Linked DNA regions of Neurospora crassa OR74A. The protein of the gene in region 1 interacts with the protein of each later gene in a pairwise test. Links are inferred from orthologs where the notes say so. Each region holds a gene or a part of one and is shown on either strand. Other genes may lie near its edges.

Region 1 (5,890 bases):
GTGGGCACTGTGTGTACAACGTCAATCCACGGGTTGGACTTACCCATCTCACCATAGTCAACAGGGGAAGGATCTTTAGCCAACCAGGTTACGAGAGCTACAGGCTAACTAGCTTTTCGCCCACAAATCGAAACGCTTTGCCCAACTGCACTAATCGTCGGCCATGCCATCCTCACCAGCCAGCATCTCAGCGTAATCATCGGCCGAGGCAAATGTTGGCAGACCCCTCATCTCCTTCCTGCTAAGTCTGCCCTTCTTCTTTGCCGTCGAAGCATCCTCCTCGCCAGCGCTCTCATCCACCACCGCTTCCTCTTCCGAGTCATCCGAATCATCAAAAATGCCTTCAAAGGGCACATCACTGTCAGATCCCTCGAAGTCCTCGCGAGGGCCATCCATATCAAAGCCGACAGTGTCCATCTCCTCGTCTGAGTCGTCATATCCATCCATTCCGAGGTCGGATTCGTCTTCATCCAGCTCACCCTCAACCTCGGGTCGAGAATTGACCAATGCTTCCCAGATCTCGTCTTCGCCTTCTTCCTCTTGTTCTTCGCCGTCCAGACCACTGTTCTCCTTGGATGCTTTCTTGCTCTTTGCCATGTCTCCAGGCTTGCCGATGCGAGCAAAATACTCATGGAAGAAAACATCTTCGGCGGAAACCTGACCTGGTTTGAGATTCCAAAATGAGGCCGAGTTGACGGAAGGCTGCTTCTTGGCGCCATCTTTGCTGGACACGACAGTTTGGGAGGCGCCACCAGTAGCGAGGACCGGCTGCATGATTGAGCTTCCGCGCTTGGTCTCGGTAATCTTGGGGTTGCGGTAGACAAACTTGTCCAGGAAATGCATGAGGCTGTGGTTGGCCAAATCCGGCTTCGGCAGGCCCTTTTGACGGACGAGAAGGTTACTGGCATAAACGTGTACGGATGGATGGAAATGAGATAGAAGAGGAGCCTGGTGGTTTTGAGGTTAGTAAACTGGTTTCACATGCAATCAGAGTTCAAATAGGCACTTACCAATTCCCACAAGCAGCTTCTGTGCGCATTGCTATGCTCGGGATTTCTCTTTCGTCCATCATATCCTGTGGCACGACGGGAAGTTGGTGCGTCTTCACGCAAGAGACTGCGCTGCAGAGCCGCATCATCATTGACATCCTTGTAAGCCTCCACGCCATCATCTTCATTCTCCTCGGGAACAGTAAGCAACGAATGAAGGTCAGGAAACATGTTCTCCAGCTCGGAAATCAGATATAGCACCCCGCATGCGAAGGACGGCTGATGCAGGTTAAGCACCTGAACCAATCTCTTGACAAAAGCCTTCACTCTCCGCACGTCGGCATCATTCTTCAGGGCTCGAAAAAGTAGATTCATGTACAATGCTTGCTTCGATGACGTGATGAGTCTGGGATCCAATAATGATTCGTACAATGTCCGATAAAATCGGTCAACAGCGAGATGTTTGGTCACGGCGAGCTGTTGAATGAGCATGAGTGCTTGCACGCTGGTGTTGAAGTTCGACGAGTGCGTGATGCGAAACAAGGTATCGAGATGTTTTTCCATGGTCTCATCGTCGGCGGTAGTGAAGGGTACCGCACGATTGACACCAGTAAGCAGTGCGGATACGAGTTTTTGTGTCGTATCCTGCTCGTTGGCAGAAGCCTCGGTGTGATTTCGCTTGCCCTTCTTAGCTTTCCTGTTGCTGCCGCCAGATTTGTCCTCGGAATTTAGCGCTTCCAGGTTTCCCAATGAGCCAGTTTTGAGGAGGGAAAGGAAAGCCTCGAAGTAGATTCGGAGTAGCGTGTTGGCTATAGCGGGCTCTTTGGTGCTCAAGATGGTTTGATTCAGGGTGATGATGGCGTAGTATTTGGTGCGCAGACCTTGGCCTGGCTTGAGCAAAACCTCTTGCTCTACCGTGCTGATGACAATGCTTTTCATCGCAGGGTGAATGTTGAGCAACTGCAAGAGGAGGTATGACGCCCGAGATGCAATTTTCCGTTCGCGATCACCGAGTTTGTTAACAAGAAGTCGCAACAAATTGGCCTCTTGTTCCGGCTTGTCCCGGAGCAATGTGAAAACAAATTCCAGCGCGCGCATTCTCGAATGCTCAATCTGATCAGTCGACCAGATTTCGAGGAGCTGGACAATGCGAAAATACGCTGCTTTGAGCCAATCCTCGTATGCCCACATCATCAGGTAAGAATCAGTTAGCTTGGCTGGGAGCTTCTGGCCCTGAACCCAATGCAGCACAGCTTGATCTTGTAAAGCGGCCAGCAAGGCGGGTTGCATGTTGAACGGACGAAGCCGGCGATTACTTGGCAGAACTGTGCCATTGCCCAGCAGATCCACTAGAGCGCCCAGGGCAGCGAGTGCCTGACTACGGCTTTTCTTGCCGGCCAACCCGATCAGGGTTTCAAAGGCTTTCTGGTTGTGGAGAGGAGACTCTTGTATCGACAAGGTTAAGGCAGATACCTTGTCGGATAAGGTGCCGGAAGACATAATGGTCGACATGAACTTCTGAGTGGAGCTGGAGGCCTGGAGGGCGTTGTATCTTGCCGCGTCCTCCTTCAAGAGAGCGTCCGCGTAAGCTTTGAGGTTGGCAATCGCTGAAGAATATTGCCTAACGTCGGCAGATGGTGTGAAGGCAGGTAGGCCCTCGAGGTCGAGAGCATGCCAGTCAGGTCTGGGCTCAAAACCCTACTCAAGTTAGCATACCGCCAGGTAAGTCTGCGGCAGCGAGAGCGTCGAACTAACCAGCTTGTTCTTGCCTTTCTTCCCGCGCAGGGTGTCTTGGGCGGTCGTAGTTGTGCTCTCACTTTTTACTGTGGCAGAAATGGCTAGAGGCTGTTCCTGATCCTGGCTGTCATCCTGTTTTGTTTGTTCCGCGTCGTCGTCCTCTTCTTCGTCGTCTTCTTCGTCTTGTTCCTCGTCGACGGGGTTTTCAGACGACACGCTTTCAAGGTCATCCTCGCGGGGTATGTTCTGGAAGCCCAGGCTCAAGGCGAACTTTGTCAGTTCCTCATGAAATGACTTATCCAGGGATTTTTCGGGCGCCGACGCAGATTTCATGCCAGGTCCCTCTTCATTGTCGGAATCAACATTGGCGACAAGCTCAAGATCATCCTCGTCTCCGCCCAAGGCCAAAATTTCCTCCAGCAGAACCTCCTTTGTTGCATTGTGGGACTGGTCTTTGCTGGAACGGTCCTCTTGTCCTTCTTCAGTGCCCAGTAGAGATTTCTGGCGCCTCTTTGCATCTCGATCATCAGCTGTGGTGTTCGGTCTCTTGCGATTTGGTGACGCGTGTTGGTCAGTGCCGACGCCAGCGAGAGTTTGGTCGATCTTTTCGGTCAGTTGAGCAAGTGCTGCTGCTTCGTCGAAAGCCGGCCCCATGCCTTTCCTCTTTCTTTGCCTCGGTGACTTGGATGAGCCCATATCTCCTAAATCCGTCGTTGCCGAAATCAATGGACAGCGGGCCGGCACAATGTGTCTCGAGGTTGGCTGTTGGTGATGCAAAATAAACCATCTACGAGGAAGGGTTGGAAAAAAAAATGCTTGGATCATGCACCTAGCGGACCCTCGTGCGTCTTGCAGGAAGAGTGGAGCAAGTGGAGGTACAGATGTACACAGTACACTGACAAATCTCTATGTACTATGCAGTACTCTCCAAACCTCGGCTGGTTCATCATTGGCGCGGTACTTCGATTGACACTTTTTCTTATCAAGTTTCATTCGGTGGAGTTTGGCGATGCAAGCCTGAAATAGTGCTAAAAGTGTTAAGTCCTACGCTGGGTAATATTTGGAGAAAGTCTAATCGTACAGTTAATATTGTCTATCCGTACGGTGGTCTACTTTTGCTTTATTAAGTATAACTTAGTAAAACGGAGACTAATGAAACTGAAAGTGGCACCAAACTATTCGTTCATTTTTGAGGAATTTTTTAAGGTAGGTACCAAATCTATATCCCTAAGCATCATGGAAAAACTACCCCTTAAGCCTTTTTCATCTAAAATCTTATTAATTATTTATTTATAATAGCTATCTTCTTTGAGAGTTTCCTAGGGCTACTAGGTAGGTCTGGTCACTCCAAAAAGAGTGTTAGATAGAGTAAAAGATCAGAAAAAATATAATGCATTTTGGTAAGTTAATACTAAACTCTATTAAGTTAGAAAAAGAATATGAAAGTCTATTTTTCATTACCGTACGGATAGATAATATTGACCGTACAATTAAACTTTTTCAATATTTGATTTAGAATTGAATTGTACAATCTAACTTTAGTGTGTTTGTAGGTTTAGTACTAAAAAAAAGCCAATTTCTACTCTAGAGCCAGCTACCAAATGTCGAGGGTAGGAAAAACGTTTGAACCTCATTCAGACAGGTACTAAAAGGGGACTACTCTCTCATATCTTCCAGTCTTGGAGGTCCTAAATGAGACAAAGAGGGGTATAAGAAGGCTTCCATAGCATTTTCCACCCTGGCTATTATTATATAACGCTTCCAACAGAGGCCCTTTTCTCTCTTTAAAGGCTAATAGAAGCTTTAAACAATTTCTCCTATTCAACGTATAGCTAAAGAACCAAACTAACAAACAAACTAGTATTAACTTGTAGAAGGACCTACAACTAGGAGTTTAGTGCCCGTGGGGTATATATTGGATTTACTAATGAATCCCACTCACCGGACACTTCTATTTATAGTAATGTGCCTCGTAAATGCTAGACCTAATAAATGCAAATACTTAACAAATACTAGGAATTTCACTATATGTATTATTTTAGTATAGTATACCTACTAGCTGCTAAGTGCTAGCCGTTAGCCGGCTCGCTATATAAATTTACAATTGCCAGGGACCCCTCGAGGGAGCTAATAAGGGGTGTCAAATGTACCTAATACCCCTTATTAGAGCTGTTAGGGGTACTAGAAACCCTCCAAATAGTATAGCTAGCTGCCCAATTTCTAAAGGATTCTCCTTATTCTTTCCCCCCTTTACTCTTTTACCCTCATACTAGTACATCCCTTCATTTTACCCTTTCTATTTATAAACAACTATCAACCTTATACATTTTATTAGCAATTAAATTACTCTACGCAACAATACTGACTATAATTACCTAATATTATAATACCCTTACTTAGGAGTAGCGTTTTAAATTTTAAATAGGCAAACAACTAGCCTTACCGCTTAAGTCTTACTCAATTGACTTAATAAATTCAAAGAAAGTAAAATGTATTACTACCAAACTATATTATATTTTACTATTTTAATAAGAATAAAAACCCTACCTATCTCGTAAATATTGATTCCTCCTTATAATATTTCAAGAAAATTCACCCAAAGAATAGTAATTGGCTAGTTTTTAGAATAATATTCTTTCGTGTGCAATTAGAGCTCGAAATTCGTAGTCTAAGTACTATAGTTGAACTTTTATAAGAGAAAGCAAAGCAGATATAGCTCCAATACCCTAAAGCCTACAATAATACTCCTACTAACCCAAACGCAATACTTATCTTTGGGCTCAAATAGTACTATTTATTTAAAAAGTAATATTATAAGTAAAGCTTTTATAATGAAATTACCTCTATACTTAAGACTAATAGCGACGCTCTAATTAAAATAAACTATCTTAAGGATTTCTCTGTAAAGGATCTACGAGGTATACACGCAGGTAGGCCTTGTAAAGAGCTTGAATAATCGACAAAGAGGGAGAGGGAGGTCTGTGCTAGTAAGGTACAGAGCTTCTAGCTAAATATACGAAATGTGGAGGGTATTGAAGGTGCTAGAAATGCTAAGGCTAGAAATGTAGCCCGTGCGGCGCACCCGAGGAATGTACCTAATGATACGCAGTGTATCTGGTGTTAAGACGGCTGCCGATAGCCGACCGACTAATGCACCCAATTAG
Region 2 (4,694 bases), on another chromosome or scaffold:
AGACAAGATAATGATGTCTTTCTGGCTTCTTCAAGTGTTCTGGCTTTTGATCGGGATGGATTTTGAGCCAATACAGCGTGTACTTATGACCTTGCCGCTACAGTCGTTGGGACCGAGACGTTCGGGGTCTCAAGTCAAAATTGTGGCGTATGATGGAAGATGAGCAATGGTTTCAGCTTTTTTCCCTCAAGACTTCTTGGGCTGCAAATAAACACCCGATGAACTAATCGTCGGGTGTTGTAAATAGTTTGGACCCATTCCTAGAAATCGGGCGGGTAAGGCAAGTCACGGTCCGTCTTGAAGGAACATGTCCAAACTTCCAGAATCTGTCAGCAACAGAGTGTGGCATCGCACTGGTAGCTTCCTTACCTATTCACAATTAGTGATTTCTTGGCGCTGTATGCACGATGCGTTAGTAGCAATGATATTTACATATTTCCTGGTCACGGGAAAATAAAAGATCACGTACTAGTAGTTTGGGCCTGATTCTTTGGCGGGTCTGAACACCAGTCAGCAATCCGAAACCAGAGGCGAATAGAATGCATTGACTTAGCTCAGGTATGAAGATTGATCTTCACGATACTTCCGTATCGGACTTGCTTCTCGGATATCATGACGAACCCGTAACCGTGTGCTGATATCCCACCTTTTCACTTGGCGTTGTTCCATCTCTGGAAATGAACAAGTTCATGACGTGCTTTGCTTCTACAGCTCACATCGAACTGCTTCTGCTCCATGGCAATGGTGTTTTATGAGACCGTGACCCAATCACTTACACGCAAAGTTGGGAGAAGCGACCTAGCGACAGGAAGGTGCGAAGCTCAAAGTTCAGGACCTGAGGGCACCGATCCAATACTCTTCCTCCAATCGCTCACCCACGTGTCACTACCTACTAGTAAATGGCGCGAGATGGCAGGCAGTAGCAGCTTGGATGCTCCACGGATTTCTAATACATCGAACCTGGTCACTCCGTCAGGAAAACCTGGCTCGGGAAAGTAGGGAGGTACATGTACTGTAACTGCAGAAGCGTGCCTCTTGGATGGCAGAAGCTGTGTTCTGTAGAGGAAGGTATGTACAGCAAGATAAGAGGTATCGTGCATGGAGCCGTAGCGATCGATGTAATGCGAACCAATTCAACGGTGGCAGTCGGATTCATCTAGGTTCCGCTTGCGTATGTCCAACGTGAATTAACCTGTAAAACCCGGAATTGACGTGCATTACTTACCTAATCGAGCTCAGGTATATCGTCATGCATCGTTCGACTGTAAATGATGTTCAAAAGTTTCAACATTCAATTGGTCGCCGAAGTGCAACATGCTCAGACAAAGGTCTGTACATTATGCCGACCGCTGTTCATCGAGGTGCTCAGGTTCGGTCCAGGGGCAGATCAACTTTGTTAGGTCTCGTCGCTGCCGCCCGTTTGTGAGTAACGTGTCCTGAGACCATATGCTTGAGATCGTATCGATCCAAAGCGCGAAATGTGAAACACGTAGACAATTTCATACTGTTCGATAATGTCAATGTCGAGTTGTCATGGGAAGAGGTTGTCGTCGAATTGAGCCGTTGAAGTCACGGCTTACTAGGGTTAGGGGTGATTCTGATGACGGCAGAGCGGGTCCACCGTTCATCCCCGCTGGGCTGCCCTTGGTTCCACCAAGTGTGGGGTTGACGCAAGACAGGGACAGGGACGCAGGGCATATTGCCGGCCGCGACCGCCAAAAATTTCTGAGTGGAGAGCACCTCAGCAATTGGGAAGTTTCGAATGGAGGGACCTGCACTCCGAACCTCGACCATCTCGGCAGCACCTCCAATCCGCGATAAACAATTCTGCCCGTATTTCTCCCCCTCGGCTTGATCAGCTGGCAAATCGATCCCAAACACAACCACTATTCCATCTGCTTAATTCACATACAACCTACATCCAATCAAACCAGACACACACACAATCACAACCATGGGCATCACCAAGCGCAAAGAAGGCCCCAGCAGCAAGGGCAAGCCCGTCCGACCGTCCAAGAAGCAGAAGGCGCAAGCATTGGCCGCCTACCACAGCAGTTCAGAGGAGGAATCCGACAACGAGCAGCAAGATGTTGAAGACCAAAGCGACGAGGAGGCCGGCACCTCCGCCGTTCCCGCCCACCTCCTCGACTCGGACGACGAAGACCTAGACAACCTCGTTGCCGACGATGGCGCATCCACAGACGAAGAGCAAGCATCCGACTCTGATGATTCCGAAGCCGAACAACCATCAAACAAGTCCTCCAAGAAGTCGCAAACAAAACCCAAATTCGTCGCCAAAGACGCCCCAGATTCCGAAGACGACGAGGACGACTCCCTAGACGGCGGTTCCGACCTGGGCTCCGACCTCGACGATGAATTCGACCTCGACGGCTCGGGTGATGAGAACGGCAACAGGAGACAAACCAAATCCAAGCGCAACGATCCCGACGCCTTCGCCACCTCCATCACCAAAATGCTTTCCTCCAAGCTGCCCGCCTCGCGACGCGCCGACCCCATTGTCGCGCGCTCCGCCGAGTCTGCAGCCGCCGCCAAGTCCCTGGTCGACGCAGCGCTCGAAGCCAAGGCGCGCAAGCGTTTGCGCGAGCAGAAGCGTCTGGCCTTTGAGAAGGGTCGGGTGCGTGATGTGTTGGTCCCTAGCAAGACTAGGACGCTCAACATCCAGACGGGCGAGATCGAGGAGATTCCGGATGGAAAGGAGGGCGAGCAGACGACGGGTCAGATTCTGGAGACGGAGAGGAGGCTGAAGAAGACGGCGCAGAGGGGTGTGGTGAAGCTGTTTAATGCGGTTAGGGCGGCGCAGGTCAAGGCGCAAGAGGCGGAACGGGCGGCGAGGCAGGAGGGAATCGTGGGTGTGAAGAGGAGGGAAGAGAAGGTTACGGAGATGTCGAGGAAAGGGTTCTTGGACTTGATTGCGAGCGGTGGTGGGGGGTTGAAGAAGGGTGGCTTGGAGGAGGCTTAAGGGAATTGCATTCTGGTGTAGAGGGGTGATTGTTTATTGTGTTTGCATATTGTCAAGGTCTAGGCTATTTTCTTATATACAACCCCGTGCCCTTGATCTGGGGCAAACAGTTGAACAACGTACAAGCCCCATGCAGAAGTATGAACAGTCAACATGCTCTTGCCAATCCGTCATATCCATCAACATGAACATTGCCCATCACAGATATCCGATAAACTCTGCGCTGAACGCCGTCGCCTCAACAATCCGACAGAAATGGAATAGATGTCGTGTTTGTGCCATATATATTCCGTCGTCCGTCTCCATTTTTCTTTACACCACAGTGAATCCCCTGCCCCTTCACCTCTACCTTCTTCTTCTTCTTCCTCCATGCTCAACCCTTCATCGCCTGATATTACCTCCCCCCAATCCCATGTCATTCATTCCATGACGGCACGGTCTAGGACTTGAAATCACTAGCCTGCAAATTCCTCGTCATGCTCGGCAACTTGACCACCAACCCATCCAACTCCTTGGTCATGTGCACCTGGCACCCCAGCCGGCTCGTCTCGGTGAGTCCAAACGCCAAGTCCAACATGTCGTTCTCGTCGTCGTCGGGCTCCGGCATCCGGTCGTACATGTCCTGGTCCTGCACAATGACGTGGCAGGTCGAGCACGCGCAGGAACCGCCGCAGGCGCCTTCCATTTCGAGGTCGTGCGCTTGGGCAATGTCGAGCAGGTTGTCGCCTTCGGAGACGGCGAGGCGGTGGGTTTGGTTGTCTTTGTCGATGAATGTTACGTAGAGTCTGTGTGCCGCCGCGAACAAATTGCTAGTTAGTGGTTGTGGGAGACTGGTGAGGGACAAGAAGGGGAATGCGCTCAAACTGACTCTTCGCCGGGCTTGGGAGGGTCGACGTGGCCGTGCTGGAGAGCGGAAGAGGTGGAAAGCGAACGGCGCGCAGAAGCGGAAGCAGAAGCAGAAAGCTGTGTCGTCGTCGACCACGCGGTAGGCAGACGCTGCGGTTGTGTTCGGAGAGGTGCGGTGGTGGTCTTGCTGTAGCACCGGGCATGCTGTGCGAGCCTTTGGAGGCTCTGCCTAAGAACTCGCGGGGTCGACATTGTGTATTGTATGGGCGCAACACCGGATCGTAAAGGGTGTCCAAAGCGTTATCAAAGAAAACAATGAAGTCGAGAAAGTTGTTTGGTTGACTGGGAGTTGCCGCGAGATTATGGAGATGGAATCCCAGATCCAATGCGGCGCGCGCGGGAACGGAGTCGTTGGAAGTGGAGGAGACACTTTTTGGACCTGGACCTGAATGGCAATCGGCACCAGGAGTAGCAAGAGATGACTGGGATGGGGATTCAAACGAATAAAAAAATGGAGAATTATCAATTAACGATATACATACACGCCGATCGAAGCTGACACTTCGGCGTAGGTAAGAAAAAAAAAAAAAAGTAGAGACCTTCAAAATGTTACAAGCCAATGGTTGTCCATGGTTGGAATCCCTTCACTTTCCCAATGTACTCGGATCTGAGTATTCAGCTGCAATCCATGACAAACACCAAGCGCCTTCAATGTCCGACAAAGAAACGCGATTCGCAACCCAACTTGGAGGACTTAGCAATCACAAGACGACATCAGAAGGAAGAAATGTGATCCATCATACATGTAAATGTTAGGTTCCTGATCTCATCACAATGCGCAAAAAAAGCAAACAGCATCTGTCCATTG

What was found. The genes of interacting proteins can lie anywhere in the genome.
Region 2: the proteins of NCU09894 (region 1) and NCU07795 interact in binary tests that used the Saccharomyces cerevisiae proteins (3 or more experiments, as listed by UniProt). The link is inferred for Neurospora crassa OR74A from reciprocal best matches to the Saccharomyces cerevisiae genes MAK21 and RRP15.

What each region holds. Positions count from the first base shown.
Region 1 is NC_026501.1:3,984,553-3,990,442, reverse strand, and holds the start of NCU09894 (CCAAT-box-binding transcription factor), read right to left. Parts: upstream 3,557-5,890; 5' UTR 3,552-3,556; coding exon 2,745-3,551; intron 2,688-2,744; coding exon 1,011-2,687; intron 949-1,010; coding exon 151-948; 3' UTR 1-150.
Region 2 is NC_026505.1:268,216-272,909, forward strand, and holds NCU07795 (DUF1665 domain-containing protein), read left to right. Parts: upstream 1-1,785; 5' UTR 1,786-1,954; coding exon 1,955-2,980; 3' UTR 2,981-3,158; downstream 3,159-4,694. Other genes in the region: NCU07794 (2Fe-2S iron-sulfur cluster binding domain-containing protein), read right to left, coding at 3,420-3,765, 3,849-4,078. UniProt on the Saccharomyces cerevisiae protein: Constituent of pre-60S ribosomal particles. Required for large subunit rRNA maturation, in particular processing of the 27S pre-rRNA at the A3 and B1 sites to yield 5.8S and 25S rRNA.